4 linked regions of the Schizosaccharomyces pombe genome follow. The main gene of each other region encodes a partner of the protein of the gene in region 2 in a complex. Each region holds a gene or a part of one and is shown on either strand. Other genes may lie near its edges.

The links.
Region 1: mrps16 (region 2) and mrps18 share a complex: the UniProt entries of both Schizosaccharomyces pombe proteins name them as parts of the mitochondrial small ribosomal subunit.
Region 3: mrps16 (region 2) and rsm7 share a complex: the UniProt entries of both Schizosaccharomyces pombe proteins name them as parts of the mitochondrial small ribosomal subunit.
Region 4: mrps16 (region 2) and rsm10 share a complex: the UniProt entries of both Schizosaccharomyces pombe proteins name them as parts of the mitochondrial small ribosomal subunit.

What each region holds. Positions count from the first base shown.
Region 1 is NC_003424.3:4,966,249-4,970,448, reverse strand, and holds mrps18 (putative mitochondrial ribosomal protein subunit S18), read left to right. Parts: upstream 1-2,586; 5' UTR 2,587-2,692; coding exon 2,693-3,226; 3' UTR 3,227-3,459; downstream 3,460-4,200. Other genes in the region: tma23 (ribosome biogenesis protein), read right to left, coding at 1-205, 270-362, 444-557; gab1 (Pig-U family GPI transamidase subunit), read right to left, coding at 850-1,684, 1,912-2,303; SHREC complex subunit Clr2, read right to left, coding at 3,560-4,200. UniProt on the Schizosaccharomyces pombe protein: Component of the mitochondrial ribosome (mitoribosome), a dedicated translation machinery responsible for the synthesis of mitochondrial genome-encoded proteins, including at least some of the essential transmembrane subunits of the mitochondrial respiratory chain.
Region 2 is NC_003423.3:553,952-558,592, forward strand, and holds mrps16 (mitochondrial ribosomal protein subunit S16), read left to right. Parts: upstream 1-1,873; 5' UTR 1,874-1,941; coding exon 1,942-2,018; exon of another isoform or gene 2,019-2,447; coding exon 2,448-2,628; intron 2,629-2,894; coding exon 2,895-2,927; 3' UTR 2,928-3,297; downstream 3,298-4,641. Other genes in the region: sre2 (membrane-tethered transcription factor), read right to left, coding at 1-173; osh42 (oxysterol binding protein), read right to left, coding at 4,384-4,641. UniProt on the Schizosaccharomyces pombe protein: Component of the mitochondrial ribosome (mitoribosome), a dedicated translation machinery responsible for the synthesis of mitochondrial genome-encoded proteins, including at least some of the essential transmembrane subunits of the mitochondrial respiratory chain.
Region 3 is NC_003424.3:3,517,546-3,521,603, forward strand, and holds rsm7 (mitochondrial 37S ribosomal protein uS7m), read right to left. Parts: upstream 2,297-4,058; 5' UTR 2,216-2,296; coding exon 1,682-2,215; intron 1,595-1,681; coding exon 1,349-1,594; 3' UTR 1,169-1,348; downstream 1-1,168. Other genes in the region: RhoGEF Scd1, read left to right, coding at 1-981; transcription factor TFIIH complex subunit Tfb1, read right to left, coding at 2,997-3,074, 3,118-3,661, 3,719-3,902, 3,948-4,058. UniProt on the Schizosaccharomyces pombe protein: Component of the mitochondrial ribosome (mitoribosome), a dedicated translation machinery responsible for the synthesis of mitochondrial genome-encoded proteins, including at least some of the essential transmembrane subunits of the mitochondrial respiratory chain.
Region 4 is NC_003423.3:3,867,854-3,873,772, forward strand, and holds rsm10 (mitochondrial 37S ribosomal protein uS10m), read left to right. Parts: upstream 1-2,314; 5' UTR 2,315-2,439; coding exon 2,440-2,519; intron 2,520-2,585; coding exon 2,586-3,192; 3' UTR 3,193-3,354; coding exon of another isoform or gene 3,355-4,911; 3' UTR 4,912-4,967; downstream 4,968-5,919. Other genes in the region: mri1 (methylthioribose-1-phosphate isomerase), read right to left, coding at 1-748; protein Cwf3, read right to left, coding at 3,355-4,911, 4,970-5,785. UniProt on the Schizosaccharomyces pombe protein: Component of the mitochondrial ribosome (mitoribosome), a dedicated translation machinery responsible for the synthesis of mitochondrial genome-encoded proteins, including at least some of the essential transmembrane subunits of the mitochondrial respiratory chain.

The sequences.
Region 1 (4,200 bases), on a different chromosome or scaffold from region 2:
ACTCTTTGCCAGAAGTTTTTCTGACTTTGACTTTCTTGGACGATACTGGAGAAACAGAGGAATCAAGACTCTTATCAACTAAATCTTCCTCAAAGGTACCACAAAGTCGACCAGCATAACGAAACACAGAAGACAGAGCAGAATATTTGCTGTGATATTTTGCCATTCTCAATTTTGTAGATACACCATTGCTTTGGACTGCAACCTTTTCCAAATGTTAGCACTGTGTAAAAGAGATAGGAAAAATTGTATATTTAAGTTGTTTTTACCTTTCCGTTGTCCGTATTTACTTGAATTGACTGTAGTTGAGCAGAAAAAACATTATCCCACCATTGATCAGCAATATCATGTTTAGCACCAAGCTACCGTGTGTTAAAAATAAATTCATACATAACTTTACTGAAAAAACCCATCTTTTTCTAAGATTTTTTATTCTGACATACCCCATGAGTATTATATTTTCTAGAAGTTAAAATTGGTTTGGTGAGCCCTCCTTCTTTTAAAGCGTTTCCTTCCTCCCAACCAAAGGAATTCAAATATCTTTTGGAACTAAACATCAATGGCTGATGAAGTTTTGCATAAAACTTTTCATGGGTACTTCGTGGTAAAGGGAGTAGTGCCATGGGATGCCATGAATACCTAATATGAAAAAAAATAAAAAAAGTCCTTGAATCGTCTCGGAAAAGGAAAAAAATATGAAATATAAATTTCCTATTTGTATGTATGAATAAATAATTTCTAAACGTTAAATTGGAAAAGGTCGTTTCGTAAGGTCAGAAAGGTGAGGCTCTAATGATGAAATTGGATAGATGAAGCCTAAGAATATCATTTTCTAATTAACAGATTACTTTATTGAACCTGTTTTAATGGAATATTTTCATGCTGTGGGTGATTGGCATACCAATCAACCAAAAGCAGTGCCTTGAGAAAGTCCATGATTTTTAAAGAGAGTCCAAGAGCAAGAATGAGGTTACTTGCGTAATAAAAATTTGCATTTCCACATCCAAGAGTTATCCAAGAATGGTAAAATGCAGATCCCAGTACAAGCGCAAACACAATAGCATTATTTGTAAGCAAGCTATATCGCATTCGGTCTTGGACTTTATTAAAAATTGGGAGGAGAGATAAAAATATTGAAAGATCACAAATACTTGGGTAAGCTTTGAATAAAGAATGCAGGCCAATAAGAGCAATAGTAATAGGCAAGGGCAGATAATAAAGACGGATCGAAACAGGGAGAACAAACATCAATGGTAAAATGGCAAATACAAAAAGGAAGAATGTGCGAAATTCATTGAACATTTCTGTAAAAAAATACCACCAGAGACCCAAATTCGGAGTTAGATCATGAGAGTCCAAGTATACCCTAAATGGAATTTTCAAAAAAGATAACGAGTTCAGAAAGAAGCCTGAAGTTATTATCAGACCTGCAAGATAAAAAAGAAAAACAACGAATATCTGACGAAATTTAATGGATGAATTGCATTTTCTTAAAATAAGATAGGAGGGGAAAAATAACAGTAAAGCGTTAGGATTAATGAATACAGTCAATGCCATACAGCATGCATAAATTGCATAGGATCCGCAAGAGGCGAAATAAATGGTCATTAGAGTGGTGAAATTAAGTATCATGTCTGCGGAGCAAGCAATTCCTGGAAGAAATGTTAATGGGTTAAGCAGATAACTAAAGTAATATTTTGTTAGTAAATTTTGAGTTAAGGATACTTGTTTGCGACACAAATATATCACAGAAGTACACATTTTCAATATCGACTACGAAATCTGTGTAATCAACGCAGTTCAATCTTTGAACAGTCATCGTTAACAATTTTGTAAACCAACGATACAATGCTTTTCATTTTTTTGAAGAATGTCTCACTTTTTTTGTCGCAAGCCATATGCGTAACTTACATGACGGAAATCCATAATGGTGAACAAGTAGATAGTACTTGATTTGGGTCTAAAACACGAGCTTGTTTTGCAATTAAATACACAAAGAGACCTCCCATAGTAGAAATGCTAGTATAAACAAATCTGGTGACAGATATTCCTCCAAGCAACTCACAACAATAATTTAAGATCAGTAGAAGTGGAGACTGATAGAAAACACCACCAGAATAGGGGTCTAGTCCGTTTTCATACAAGTAAAGTCCTTCACGAACACGTAAAAATCCGGATACAGGCGTCGATACTTCGATTCGCCTGTAAAGGAATTCAGCAATCCAAGTGTTTGCTAAATACCATTGAAGAAAAAAAGAAATTGATAATAAACCTAATAGTTTTAGCTTCTCATTTGGTATCATTGCAAAATCTTCACTGTTCAAAAGATGGGTTATATTTGTGTTTTCAATTCACCAATCTTCGTTTAAATTACAGTCGTTGGGTATCCCAAATGATCCGTTTGAAAAACTTTTAAGGCAGCCACCAAAGTAAGATTTTTAATTTTTTATTTCTTTATTTTTTCTTTAAAACGAGAAGAGTGTTTTAGGTTAATATTTACACGTTCATACCACTACCACAGGTTGAGTAACATAAGTTACCTGGTATAGAAATTATGGTATTGAAGCACTCGGTTACTTACAATTTGTCATTTTTCATTTCCTTTACATTTTCATCCATATTTTTTAGTTCTTTGATTTTATTTTTGGTTTACAAATCGGTTCTTAGCAAGCTATTTTTCATCAAATATCTAATGCTTAATTTAACAAAAGTTGGACTACGAAGATTTTGGAGCCAGAGTCCTAGGCGGAATGCGCCCAAAAAGGAACTCTCTTCTCTTTTAGAATCCACAATCACTCCAAAAGCTTTTTCAAAAAGGACGGAGGAGCCAAATCCGATTATGCAAGGTACGGATACCATTCCAATGCCATTTTACCTTCATGCCAAATGTTTGAAGAACAACACTCACATTACACTTTGTTCTCCTGAAAGAAAAATTATTTTTAGGGCCTCTGGAGGAACCTGTGGTTTTCGTAAAGGAAAGCGCCGTGGCTACGATGCTGCTTATACCATTTGCTCCAAGGTGCTGGAACAAATCCAAGTAAAGCGCCTTGGTATTGAAAATTTGCATGTTATATTTCATGGTTTTAGTCAGGCCAGGGAAGCAGTACAAAATTGTTTATTAGGGCAAGAAGGTGCCGTAATTCGAGACAAAATTGTAAAGGTTATGGATCGAACACCTATTAAATTTGGAGGACCGAGAGGTAGAAGGGAGCGACGCATATGAAGTATGTTTATATTACTTTTCTGTTTTCTTCGTTTACGTAATCTTCCTGTGCAGTTAATCTGCTGCCCAACATTGTTGGTGCTTTTCCACCGTTGTATTTGACCTTCTGAACTTAGAAATGATTTATTAATACCGGTGTGATAGTGCAACATGATTTCTTAAAAAAAACTATATCCCATCTCTAATTCAACACAAATAGTTTTTACCTATCTTTCTCTGTAATTTATGAAATGCAAAAGACATTATTATTCCCATATTATTTACATTATAAATAATGACCGTCACTGATCAATAAGTAGACACTTCTATATCTAATTTTATCTGCCATACTTATTACATTACAACTGCTGACACCATATCAATTTCAGACAGTAAATATTCATAAAAATCGTCATCGACCCAATTTTCAGAGCCTACTGCTGATAATCGACTGGATGTGCGTTCTTTCACTTCTGAAGTGTAATTTAAATCTCCTTTTACGAACCAAGGCTCATACCATCTTCCCAAAACATCTGCGAATGGGCAGACGTACTCGACAGATTTATCATGCAGGCAACGAAAATATGTGTTTGATAGTTTTGATACCATTTGTAATCTTCTTGGTAATTCTTTTAAGTCATCCTTATGTTCATCAATATTGTCAGCGCTGTCATTATAATCGAGTGCATTTTTGTCAATTTGTGTCCATAGTGAGCCTTGGAAACAGACAATGTCATCTTCGTTTACATAAATATCAGATATGTACATAAAACTTGTTTTTTGAAGTACAGATGGCAGTGAAGATGTGGATATAACACATAAATCATTAATCCATAGTTTTTCGGCTCCACGGAAAATTCCGTAAAAATGATCATCTAAACTATTTGATTCACCCCCAAAGGTTGGTAAAACTGTGAGAGGGATGGAATAATTTTCGTCGTGGAACTTTGGTTCTTCCATATCTATACCTTCTAGTGGCTGGAAGATACCAAATA
Region 2 (4,641 bases):
ATAGGGTATGAAGAAGATGCTGAAGACGAAACTATGGATGGGTGCTTGAAATCCATGATATTTGAGCCATCCACATAACTGGATGGATCAGCGTTTTCAGTGGGATTGGAAATCGCAGTGTTTTCGAGTTGACGATGAATATCCTTGAGCGACGAGTGTTGGGAAGGACACATAGCGAAGCGAATACCAAACAGTCGTTTTGGATATGAGTCAAGGAGAACGAAAGGTATTTATAGGTATTTAAAGAATGAAAAGTTTCCAAGACAAAAAGAGAAAGATTAAAAAAAGAAAAAAGAAAAAACACTCAGTAGTAATGGAGAGAATTCGAATTTCCGAACTTCTTGTTGATGAAACGCTAACCGCAAAAAAAAATTTAACAATACACCGTTTAATAAACGAGAAATTAGAAGAAAAGCGGGATTATTTCAAAAAAGGAGAGGAAGCGAAAACTAAAGGAAAGATAGAATGGGTGGAAATTGTAGTAGGAAAGCAAATAAAATTGGAACCCAAGAAAACGCCTATAGTAGTTGTCTTTGAGCGAAGGAAAGTATAAAACAACAAAAAATTAGGTTTTTCCTCTTTCAAGTTGAATTATTATGAAACCGGGTTGAACAGGAATCTTCAAGGTAAGCGACCCCAAGAACGCACTCGTTCACGAACTAACCAAGTAAACGAGACAAGATGAACAAGCTTGACAGGATAAACAATGAAAGAAGAAAAACTTATAAAAACTAAATATATAAAGGGGAATATAGTAAAAATTGGCCCCCAAGCTGCGTTATAAGGAATTGACAGCAATTATATGATGACGGAGAAGAAAGGAGTAGAAACTGACGCAAGGCAGGATGTAAACGTCAAATCTTCAGGTGTTCCGATATGTAATGAGTCTTAAAACTGCTACTAGCCTAAAACCTAGCACCGTTCATCCACAAAGCGATGTCCAAAGAAACGTTTCAATCCGATGTTCCTATTTTGCTTGAATCCGTCGACACAACACACTGACTTGACAGTAACCGGGAGTACGATGGCAAAAATCAATGTCAGTGGATCCAGCAATTCGTAACAACACCAAAAGAATGGGCAATTCAGAACAAGATCAAAATGCTAACTAAAAGAAGCCTAGGTGTTGGGAAATCTCAAAATACCAATTAACCGAACTCCCCAAACAACGATTCGTACGAAAGCAACAAAAACCCTCTAAGATTCAATCAATAGCTTTCTTGATCACTAGAAATTTTCAAGAACGGATGGAGTTAAATATTCAACAGGGATGCGCAATCTACGCGAGTCTTAAGTTATGTTTTGCTGTCGCTAAGTAGAATTTATGGGAGGGAGGAAAAAGCTAAAAGTAGACGAAGCCGCTTAAGCTAAGGAATGTCTATAGCGATTAACATTACGTTATAAGGATTGCGTGGTGAAAAGAAGGTTGGCAAACTACGCATTACATGAGTAACGTTCGTTTATGGTATCTCGTATACGCATTCTACAATCGCTTACAGTATTCCTGTTTAGCAAACTCGATACAAGCAAAGCATACCTTGAACAACGTGGAGAATGCTCGCTTTGTAGTATTCGTGTTACCGTAATTCGTGCTGTATCTCACTCCGGGGGTAGTGAATATGATCAATTCACACTGCTTATAAAGAGAAATAGAGTCAGCAGGAAGTAGAAAGATAAATGGAAGGAAAAGAACGTAATTTCTATCCCAGAAAACGTTTGAAATGATCTTTTGAAATTATGTTTTGTTTGTAAGTATGAACGAAAAGCAAGGCACAACGCTATTTTATAAACAACGGAGTGCACAATACGATACGTCCATCTGCTTTCCATCCTTGATACCTGCATTGTCTTCGTGTTTACTCAAGTTGCTCTTAACCATACTCCTACCACCAAGTGGGAAAGACGGGATTTGTAGGACTCGTTGAAAACCGGCTCTTCTCAATGGTAGTAAAAATTCGTTTGGCGCGTCATGGCGTCAGAAATAGACCTTTTTACCATATCGTAGTTGCGAATGCATGGTAAGTAGGATGAAAACATACCTAGACGGTTGTTTCGTGTTTTACAACACTTGTAGCGGTTCACGTAAAGGGGAAAGTTTTTGTACAGGATTTAGTAAGGGAGATGGCTTGATGTGGGTTATGAAAGAATGGAAGATAAAATGCTAAAAGACTGCTTTTTTTTGACGGTTCCTTTGGCTCTAAATTGCGATCTTTTTTAGAAGCTTTAGTTTTCAGGTATTCCTGGATGCTCTCATCTATTTAATCTAGTCTTTCTACATAGTATTCAAAATGCCAAGGACACCAACCACAATTTTTCTTATTAATTGACTATTTATTGTGGTTTGGCCCCCTTGGCCTCTATTAACTGTTTACATATCACCTGTACATCCTTTTTTTTCTCCTTCATCCATTCCTGTCTTTTGGTTCGACTTTGTTAACTCAATATAGGAAAGCACCTCAAGCCAAACCTATCGAAACCATCGGCACTTTTGATCCCATCCCTAAGAAGATTGATTCTCAGGACTCCATTCCTCGTATAAAAGATATCCAGCTCAACGTTGAACGTTTTAAATATTGGATAAGTGTAGGAGCACAACCATCCGACACCGTCCGCTCTTTAGCTGAAAAGGTATGCCCAAGCTCTCTTTATCTATTTTTATGACTAGTCCAAATTCGTTAAACTTTCTTTCAACTCTCTTTTTTGACTAAAATTTTCGACCCGCTTGCGATATACCGCTCGGGTGATTTTTCTCATGTTCCCTAACTGCCCGGCTTTCCGAAATGGAGTGTAGGATCTCATCCCTGTTTTCGTTACGATTTGGCTACTAATTTACTTGTTTTACTTCTTTCTATCAATCTATCAATTCTTACTAACGTTACTTTTTTCACTTTTAGTTCCAGTTGCTTCCTAAAAAACCCGTTTCTTGAAACTCACTATAATCGTTATTGCTCAAGTCATGACATTTCTTTTTTACGACCACTTCACAATGTCTAGATATCTTTAACACATTTTTTATTTTTTTTTACACTTTATCTCTGTGATCACGCTAATTACCTCTCTCAACTAAATTTCATAATTTTTGACCGATTTTACCCTTCCGTACTGTTTTTTTAAAACCACGTTTTTTGGCTGAGTGCGATATTTGTTTTCTTTACGATTCTTTTTATTACAATATCACCTTTTTTTTTTTAATTCCTTCTCCACATTATCGTTAGCGTAGTGATATCTTAATTTCTAAATTTTTTAAAGTGTCTATCTATCTGAGGTTATGCGCTAGTTGAAAGCGCTCATAATTTGATGCTATCCATTTGTAATTACTTGTTGCTTTGTACTTAAAATTGTTTGGTAATGAGAAATCTTGGTACCAATATTTTGCCTTTGTAATTTTTAGCTTTTGCGTTTATGGTTAAAATGGATCTTCACTTTATACTGAAACTTCATTTCGTTTACTGATGTTATACCCTTATTTTTTTAGAAACAAATTAACAGCTTCATTTCAAATATTTAGGTTAATATCGGTGTATCTATTATTGCTTAGATTTTTGGACTTTCCGTTCGGAAACGGCAATGCGCTTTGTTGCTTTCCTGATTTCCTCATTCGTTTAATTGGAACTGAACACGTTCATTAATAGCCAATTGCAATAGTTGTACAATTCTAACAAATCATTCCTGTACTTCCGTTGAATTTATAAAAGACTTGTCTCAAAGGATTTAAAATCGTTCAACAATGAATATTAACAACTTAATCGTTTGTAACAAAATATTATAAATGGTGAACTAGCCTTATAAGCTAATTTATTAACTGTACCAGAAGCAATTTACTTTGGTATTATTACCATATTTCATCAACCAGTCCAACTCTACACCACTACATTTATTCATGCACCGAACAGTGTAATTTTCAATTAATGCATTAAATACAAGCTAAACATCACAAACCAAATAGTATGTAAAAATAAACTTGAAAAAGAAAGCGAGAAATCACTTAATGAAAAAAAAAAATCTACTACCAAATCTCGAAATGAGTATAGATCAAATTGCAATGCTTTTTCCCTGACATGCATATGTGTAACCGACATATAAGTAATAAACTAGTATACCGCATAGATAATCTAAATGAAAAGTGCTGATTTCGTACTAAAAGCCAACCGTTAAAAGAACCTTTAGTAAAATCGTTGATCGTAAAACTTCAGTTGAACGTTTAAAGAGCGAAAGATACCTATATACTTTCAAGCATTATTTTAAGCCCTGATTGCACAACCAAGAGAGCTTTTGGGCCAATCCTCCCAAAAGTAGAAAAAAGGACACTGTTAAGGACGGAAAACTATAGCAGCCCGAAAAGCACACATAAATTTAAGAAACAAAAATATAAGTAACACAAATTTATTCCATCCGTTTGACAGGTTGTTCTCCTGCTGGCAATGAAGGATGAGTGTCACCAATGTAAATCCAGAAGCCTGGTTCAATAACTTCTAAAACAGCTTGGGCTAAAGCATTCCTGGCATCGCTATCATGCTCTTCCCATTTGAAGTATCTTCTGGCCCAAACTGCTCCCTCTGCTTCTTCTTTCTTACGCATATCACGTTGTGATTGTTCGATTGTAGACTTTTTCGAGCTTACAATATCATAATTACCACTGGC
Region 3 (4,058 bases), on a different chromosome or scaffold from region 2:
TGGAAAAACGAGCACGGATCTCCAAAGGATATTCGTAGTGCTGCTTCGACCCCTGCTAACCCTGTCTACAATCGTTCTTCTTCTCAGACTTCAAAGGGTTACAACTCCTCCGACTATGATCTTTTACGTACACATTCTCTTGACGAAAATGTTAATTCTCCTACAAGCATTTCCAGTCCCTCTTCCAAATCTAGTCCGTTCACGAAAACTACTTCTAAGGATACAAAGTCTGCCACCACAACTGATGAAAGGCCATCGGATTTCATTCGTTTAAACAGCGAAGAATCAGTGGGTACCAGTAGCCTTCGTACTTCGCAAACAACATCAACTATAGTTAGTAACGATTCTTCATCGACTGCATCTATTCCTAGCCAAATCTCTCGTATCAGCCAGGTCAATTCGCTATTGAACGACTATAACTACAATCGTCAAAGTCATATAACTAGGGTGTATTCAGGTACTGATGATGGGTCTTCAGTCAGCATTTTTGAAGATACATCTTCATCAACGAAACAAAAAATTTTTGATCAACCTACTACTAATGATTGCGACGTAATGAGACCTCGTCAATATTCATATTCAGCGGGTATGAAATCAGATGGTAGTTTGCTCCCTTCTACTAAACATACTTCGTTAAGCTCGAGTTCCACGTCTACCTCCCTATCAGTTCGAAATACCACGAATGTTAAAATTCGTCTCCGTTTACATGAGGTTAGTCTCGTCCTGGTTGTTGCTCATGATATAACATTTGATGAGCTGTTAGCCAAGGTAGAACATAAAATAAAGCTTTGTGGGATTTTGAAACAAGCTGTTCCTTTTCGGGTTAGACTGAAGTATGTTGATGAGGATGGCGATTTTATAACCATCACATCCGATGAAGACGTTTTAATGGCATTTGAAACGTGCACGTTTGAACTTATGGATCCTGTCCATAATAAAGGAATGGATACTGTGTCTTTGCACGTTGTTGTTTATTTCTAAACTAGCATTGTGCTAGCTGTACATTGTCAATTTAATTTATATAGAGGAAATTAACAGTTTAGTCGATGAACTAATTTACTTTCCCTTCTTTGTTTTGAAAAAACAACAATATACTTCATAGAAGATAAATTCTGTAGCATTTCCGTTAACTGAAAAGGAGCTGTAGAAGAATGTTGATGAATATTATGAAAGTTATTTTACAACCAAACTATAACCTCATAAACATGAATATGATTAACTGCGCACTACGTAGTATAATTGAGTTGATAACTAAGAGTAATCAATTCTCGATATACTAGACAAAAATAACATTACTAAAAGGGAATGCAATTCATAAAAAAGATAAAAATGTACGGAATTTTTGTTTTTATATACGAACGGGTGCATTACCTCTGTTAACAAGGCACATTCTGTGCAGATGATCTTTCTTTTTGAAACAATTGCTTGTCTTGCTCCTGATAGCAATGATTTCTTTAACAATACGATCTGATAATCTTTTAGGACTTGATGATTTACATTCACCGAGGATCCATTGTAACGCAATCCTTCTTCGCTGTCGCTCTTTCAATGGCATAGGAAATTCGACACTTTTGTTAAATCGCTTTGCAGAAACCTATCAAAATATTAGCAAATCCGTCTACACACTATAAAAAGAAATAATTCACAAAAAATTCCAAAATTTTCAATAATTTCGACGTACCAACTTCATTAAGGGAGAAATCTCAGCGATTGCTTGTTTCAAAACATCTATAGGATTTTCACCGGTTTCTTTTTGTATGATAGAGAGCGCTGTTGCAACAATCTTTTCAGCTTTAGCTTTTTTCCCATCTCGCATTATTAAATTCACCAAATGCTGTACTGTAGAGTCGACCTGAAATGGTCGATCTATTAACCCTACAATTGAACTTGACGGAGAAGGCCACAGATTTGTACCCATTAGCGGCGGTTCTTCATTTTCAACTTCAATTTTTTTCTCTAATTCACCCATAAAATCGTCGGAGGCAGACTGTTCGACAGAATCTTGAAGTTGATTCAGTAAATTTTCGAGTCCCGCATTATCCCATTGTGGATTTGAACGTTCATTGATATCTTCAATTTTTTCATTATATTTTTCATTTGAGGTAAATTTTCCAACTTGAAAAGTACGAGTCTGATGGATAAAAACAAGCGACTCTTTCATCAAATGTCCCGAACTCGCACATCGAAACAAAGGTTGCTTTATGAGTCGTAGCATGGCCCTTTATTGTTTGTTCTTTCTTCTTGAATGAAATTTTTAAAACAATTACTCTTATTAATCAAAGCATGTAGGAAAGCTAAGGTGTGCGTAGATGTTTAAGCTTAGTACATATACACTATGGATAAATGAAAGAAAAGGGAAGGGAACTAGGCGCTAGCGTGCTACATTTCAAAGTCGTTTGGCTATTTATTTATTAACTTGAAATAAGATAAATTAGGTAATCGATGTTAAAATATTCATCATTAATTGTGTATCCAAATTTAATACTTGAGCTAGACACAGTTTTATTGGGATCATACAGAACTGATACCTTGAAAGAAAGTAAAAAAAAAAGTTATATATAATATACAGAGAAGCGATAAATTGAAAAATTGTAAAAACAAGCATTTAAAACAAAAGAGAGAAATTATGGGACATTAATTAATTGAACATCAGTTTATAACATACTATATTCGTGTCATAAAACGAATTTTAATAAATAATAAAATCTATAAAGACATAAAAACATTAGATTTTGGCCTATGAGCACAGTAATCTAAAAACAGTTTTGATTGTCTTTTGAATCTATAAACCAAAACAAAAGTTTTTTAATTCAAGAGTTGTATAAACAGAAAAAGAGCCATATCCAGCATTTCAATGTTCATTTTTTCCAGCCTTTATGAAGAAAGAACATTAAGTCCAATAAAGAATATATCAATATATCATTAACCTCTATATGGAAAAACAGAAACAATTACCTTTTACAAGCACAATTGAGTTTCCAAAGACATTATCAAACCTAAGCAGGAGGATAAGACATTCGTCTTTGATACTCCGAGATTGACGTATCAATAGAAGTGAGCGTACAGGATACCAACTAATCCTAGTTAATAATCAAAATCTCTACAAAAAAAACTTACCTCATAAACCAGTTTTGGATCAACGTTTTGTTCCTGAGCCTGGCTCGCAATTGCCTCCACCCTTTTTTTCGAATTTAACAGAGCATTCTGAAGGGGGGCCATCGCCTTCTTGTCCGGGAAAGTTGTATTCAACAAGGCATTCCAAAATTGATGCAAAAATTCTATCGTAACGGTATGGCACAAAACAATTTCATTTTTTATGTCAATAGGTAAATTTGATGCAGTGCCGTGGGTCTCAAACTCATGCTTTTCGCGCATACTCTGAGTAAGCTGCATAGCGGCTTCAGCCAAAGAGTCAGAATCATGTTCAATGTGATTTAAGCTTATCGAATCTTCCTGGTATAAATGTTGAAGAGCTTCCAATGAAGGCAAAGGCTCTAAACCAACTTGATTTTTTGAGGGGACAAAATTATTTTCCAATAACTGATCTTGACCTTTGATTTTTAAGACAACTTTAGAGTCACTGGCTTCTTCTTCTAAATCGTGAAAACCAGATTCTTTTAAGTATGTTTCTTCATTTTCGTTGTTAAATCGTTTAGAGTTTCTACAAGTTGTTAGGCATACCGAAGCAATAACAATTAATAAAACCGAATATACATACCCCAAACTTTTTTCCAAAAGTCTTTCCGAAAGCTGATTGATGTTTTTCATAAACGGTAGAGCTTCTTTGTCAATTCGCATAGTGATATCAGGTCTAAGTTCTGCTATTACATTTGCATTTTGATCATTTCCTTCTAAATCAAAGAGGTGCGATGCAATAGGTTCATCCGATACTTTGGTTACCTCTTGAAAATGTTAGAAATGGAATTCATCTAGGTTGGAGAAATTACCTTCATTATCTTTTAAATACTTATCCATTATATCATCAGAGGGATCCATTGGTGTAATTCTGTCGCCACGAAGCTTTTTACAAAGCTTGGAAAGGAAAAATCTACTCCAAA
Region 4 (5,919 bases), 3.3 Mb from region 2:
ATGTGCCAATCTTGTTTGCAGTATCGCCATTACGAGTAACGCGGTCGGCGCCGACGACAATGGCATCGATTTTGTGCATAATTGAAGCAACCGTGGAATCTGTGACTAGAGTTGCTGGAATTTTATCATGAACCAACTCAAAAGCAGTGAGACGAGAGCCTTGGTTATAAGGGCGAGTTTCTGTACAATAAGCGTGTTCCAAGTTCCCCGATTCGTGTAAACTACGAATGATCCCCAAAGCTGTACCATAACCTGAGGTAGCTAAAGATCCAGTGTTGCAATGGGTCAAAACGGTGAGCTTGTCTTTATCTTTGTAATGCTGCAACAAGAATTTTCGGCCAGCAGTTCCAATATTGTGGTTGTCTTCTAAATCTTTTACTAGCATACGCTCCGCTTCCTGAATAATTTTATTTCGACAATTTTTTCCTTCTTGAAGAGCAATGCCTTGCATAAACTTTGCAGTTTCAAAAAGATTGACAGCGGTAGGACGAGACTGTTTGAGATGCTCAAAGCTATTTATAACATATTCTTTTGCATCTGCATCTTCAGAAAGATGTTTTAATCCGACAGCCACACTCAAAGCTGCTACAATAGCAATAGCTGGGGCCCCACGAACTTGCATTTTTTTTATGACAGCGAATGCGTCTTCTACATTACTAACTGAAATGTATTTACGCTCGTACGGAAGAAGTAATTGGTCTAATACAAGAAGCTTGTCCTCATTATAAATGATTGCTTGCAACGACATTCTGCCCAAATTTTTGAATATCTCTGCCTTTGAAAACTTTTACTTCACTAGCGCACGAACGCACATGCATCAGATAAAATTAAAGGATTTGATGAAGCTCGTAGCGATGCATTAATAGAAATAATGAATTAATATAAAGTTACACTGTGTAGTTTACTTAGGAACAAAAAATAGTACATTAAGTTTAATATAAATTTATAAGAAGAGTTAACGCAGTCTTTCGTACTTTTGACACTGCTTATAGATAGATAAAATTAGCAACCCTAACTTAATATTGTGCTTCTTATTTATCCGCACTATTTGATATGCATCTAACATTTTGAACGCGTAAACAAAAAATTTAGACTCATTCAAAGATGTAAGTTCCATCGTCAAATTATATTACCAAGTTATTTTGATAATGAGTATGGTGCCTTGAATTATAGATTAAAAAATGTATCACCGAATTTATTTTTAATAATGAGTCGATCTGACATATTAGAATCAAGGAATAATAATATGCATTGATGTTTTATGAAGGAATTACAGCTGTAGAACCTATGTATACAAACTTCAAACTTTTAAAGATGAGAACGATATATTTTTTTCGTTTTCCAGAAAAGCCATGCTTGAAGTATTTATCAAGATGTTCGGTAGTGTCAATTTAATAATCATATGTGCGACTTTGACTTTGACATGCAGCAAGAAGTTGTTGACACCAACCTATCTGCTTGAAAAGTGATACTCGTTTGCAATACTTAAATATATATATATATATATCAGTGATCGCAAGTCAGTTTTGAATGCAGGATTGGTAAACAAGGGTCGCAAGTTAATATATTTATATAGCTGTCTGCTGTAACAGTTTAACATACAACCTTGAAACTGTAAAACATTGAATATTTTTCATTGTTAAAGCCAATTTAAATGAGAACGATTATTGTGTTACGAGGTAAGCATTTAATTCCAAAATCCCTATGTATTCTTGTAGTATAAAGTAATTTGAATGACAAATCAGTAGATTCTTCCATAATTGCAAGTAGGATGCCAGTCCCAAACCTTTAATTCCTAGCTCAAAAGCACAATTGTTCAGTTCACACTTTTGTTAACTTCCGGAATTTGTTATTGTAAAATAATTGTCTCCTCATAATTTTAAAAAATTACATCTCATTGCTGACTGAGAACTCTCATCATACTGGTCAATTTTAAATTGTGCTGAAAGCCTTATAATCACAAATATTCATGTTTAATCGAATTTTTTTGGTTTTCTTCACTATGGTGCATCAATAATATTTTTAGTACAGTACAATCACACCCACCTTTGAATTCTAAACTTTGACCTTCAAATGCAAATAAAAAATTTATAGTTAGATCGTTCCATCATAGTATAAATTACAGAATGATATTGCTTTTTTAAAATAAATGTTACCATCTACGTGTTTTTCAAGGTATTCACGCGCGAACGACATTTAAAATGATTTCGCTCCGCTTGTTTATGTTCAATTAAAACATTGATTAATAACCCCTTAGTCCTACGATAATTGTGTTAAACTGAATATGATGGTGGATGACAAGTGTAGCTCGACCATTACTCCCCACTCCAACCAAAAAATTTTGTTAAAAAAAAACACCTTTACAGTGTTTAATTGTTGGAATTTTGTTCTTGTGGTTTTCTTAACAAGTATTTTAAGTAACCGGCTAAAATATTAATCATGAAACGGTATATGTTTGGTACATTACCTCGCGTGCAACCGAAACGTTGTTTCCAGACAGCTATTGGCAAAGAATCACCGTATGTATTCAATCCTTTCCTCTAATTTAAGCTATAATTTTGTACATTCTAACCCCAATTTATTAGCAAAGGGAACAGCGAAAAGGATCAACTTTTTGAGAATCCATTTTTTCAACAGCTTCCTTCCAACGTTGCAGCTGTATATTTGAACCCTGTTAAATTCAATCCTTCTGAAAACGACGTACTTTGTGCTTCTCTAAAAATTAAAAGCTTTGAAACTCCAAAACTTGATACGTTTACCGACTTCATTTGTCGAACAGCGTATTACATGAAAATTCCAATCAAGGGTCCACGTCCATTACCCAACAAAGTAGAAAGCTGGACTTTACTCCGATCACCTTTTATTCACAAATCTTCTCAGGAGAATTTTGAACGTATTACGCACTCTCGACTTATACAACTGTACAGTGTCAATCCAGTTACTTTAGAAACGTTTTTTAGTTATTTACGAAAATGCAACATGTGGGATTTAAAATTGCAAGCAAAAGCTTATGAATACGAATCCATCGATGATGCCCTTAAAAACTTCGAGTCACAGTCTAAGTCTACTGATAATTTCAAAGAATTGTTAAACGGTCCTTCGAAAAAAGATATAATCACACAAAATGCCGAAAAATTGCTCAGAAACGACCCCATTTACAAAGATTTGTTAAAAAATTCATCTCGAAAATAAAAATTAACTAATGTGTTTTCAATTACTCTGATGTTGGACCGTTTATTAGCAAAAATACTCTGACTGTATTCGTACTTTTTTTTTTAACAATATGACACTAGCTTTTCTTCATTAAAAGTGTTCTTTAACTAAAAACGTTACGAATAGTCCACACTTGTTTCGTTAGTTTTCCTCACCAGTAATTTTTGAAGTTTCTTGGGGATTGCTTTTCGAAAGAACAAAACCCGCAAGTGCCTTAGGTCCTTCAGATTTTTCCATTTCAAGCTGTTCCATTGGATCCATTGGTGCTGCTGCACTTTCAATTTTAGCTGCTCTCTTCGCTATATGAAGGGAATCAGTGCTAAACTTAGTTTGTACAGACCGTTTAATACGAAGCATTTCTTTAACTGTTTCTTCTGGATTTCCGTACCTTATTTCAAATTCTTGCCATGCTTTCCAATAATCCGTTTCAACTCTTGGATCACAGTATTGACTTCCATGAATATATATTAAACGAGCACGATCGATTTCACCAAGTTTCGTCTCCATTTCAGCAAACCTTAAGCACATATCTTTGACTTCTGAGTCACTCAGGGATTCAATAGCCTTCTCATAAACTGTCCTTGTCGCCAGTACACCATAATTTAATGCCACTTTAACGAGTAACACATTGTAAATAGCAAGACGGTCTGCTGTTTTAACCTTGTCGGCCGCTTTTTCTAAAATAGAAATGGATCTTTTTGCTTTGCCAAACTTTTCTTCGAAATCGGCATACAGAAGATAAATACTTTTCGAAAATTCGGGCGGACATCCTTCTAATGCTTGTTCAAATAAATCCCTGGTCCTTTCCATATGCGTTCCTTGATATCGTTTAACAAATTTTGTTAAATATAAATTCCAAAGTTCAAAAGCCACGGGATAACTAAATAACGCAACACCTCTCTCATAAATTTTAAATGAATCTTCAAAATAAGCATTCTCCTCTAAGAGATTTGCATAATTGACAACCACCTGGGGAGTAGCAATTTTTAGTTCAAAGACGCGGTCGTACAATTTGCGTGTAGTTTCAATCGTACCAACGCTTTCCTCAAGATCAAGATAATACATCCATATCTTAGATGACTTGTGTAGCCGTACTTGTGGACTGAGTGATTCATCAAAAAAGCTGATATGACTTTTTCTAGGAGCATGAACGGCATCTCCTATTAATTTTCTCGCAGCGTCAAAATTTTGATGTCGAAGTTCCATCTCGGCCCAGTCAATCCAAACTTGTGCTAACTCATTGACTGTTTTATATGGTACATGAGTAGCCTTTTCAAAAATTATCCTTGATTGTTCTAAATCATCAAAATTTTCATAAAAACGAGCAAACTCTGAAAACAATTTGCCGAGGGAGCCATGCGCCAGCTTTGGATTTACATTTTTTATAGCGTCTGTGTAAACTTGAACAACTTTTTCGCTGTCGTCTTCTAAAAACTTGACTCGGCGAAGCCATTCGTCAACGTTATTTATATTTTGCCTTAATAATACATCATTGATATAAAGCGGACGTTTGTCAAGTATTTTCTCGAGCCAGGCCATATGAAAATCGATACTTAATTCGTCATTTGCATTTCCGCTGCTTGCTTCAACTCGTGCAGATAGCCATTGCTCTTCGAATTCAACAAAAGCATCGAATATAATTGTAAAATTTCTTACAGTCATTATGTTATTCATCCCTTCATAGAATGTGCTTCTTGCCTGTACGATAAGTTAGTTTTTGCAATAAGGGGTCAATAAACAAACCAGTTAAACATACCTTCTCGTAGTCACCAATGCGTATATAATATTGTGCCAAATAAGTCCATAGTTTCCCTGCTTGATCAGAAAACCTTTTAATGCCAGCTCTAAAAACCTTTTCTACGTCTATGTTTTGCGTATGGTCAGGATGCTGAACAACTAACTCGGAAAACTCGAGCCATATCTGATAATTGCTCTTCCTTTTTGCTGATAAAAACACGGGCCGATTTAAAATATCCTCATATTGTCGAGCAGCTTCATTCCACAGCCCTAATTTACAAAGTATCTCAATGTAGTTTTCAATTGCTCTTGGTTCTACTTGTATATATCTGCGGTAGACATGGATGCAAAATAATCCTCCAATATCTTCAGCATATTTCGTAAACATGTCCCAAATATCATCGTGCTGAGTTACCGGTAAGGCGCGAAGTGCAGAGTTAAATGTACAACGAATCTTAGTGACATTTGGTTGTTTCATCAAAAATTGTAAATATAGTTTCCAAATAACAGGCATTTTATGCAATAAAATCAAAGAGCGCTCAAAACAATCGTTTACAGAAGCAAAAGCTTCGGCATGAAAATATGGGTTCAAATGTTCAACATGCGCTACACGTAGTTCCAAATAGCTTTTCCATATTTTATAGCTTCCCGGGAGTTCTGAACAAGCTCTTTCAAATAAAAGCACACGCTTTTCCAAAGTAGATCCTTCATGGGTCTTTATATATCGTAACCAACTTTTCAGAGAATATGGATCACGTAGCAATTCAAGCTCAAACGGCTCGTCATCAACATTAATTAGATCAAAATTAACTTTCAGTGGAATAACATCTCCCATTTCTAATCCTTTTGATTGTTTTCTAAAGAAGCCCGATGTAGGCTGTTGTCGTGCATACAATAGACCTTGGGCAAGTGAAAAATATGAAGTTCAATTTTAACCCCATAAGATGAAACTTAATTGAGAAAGCACAT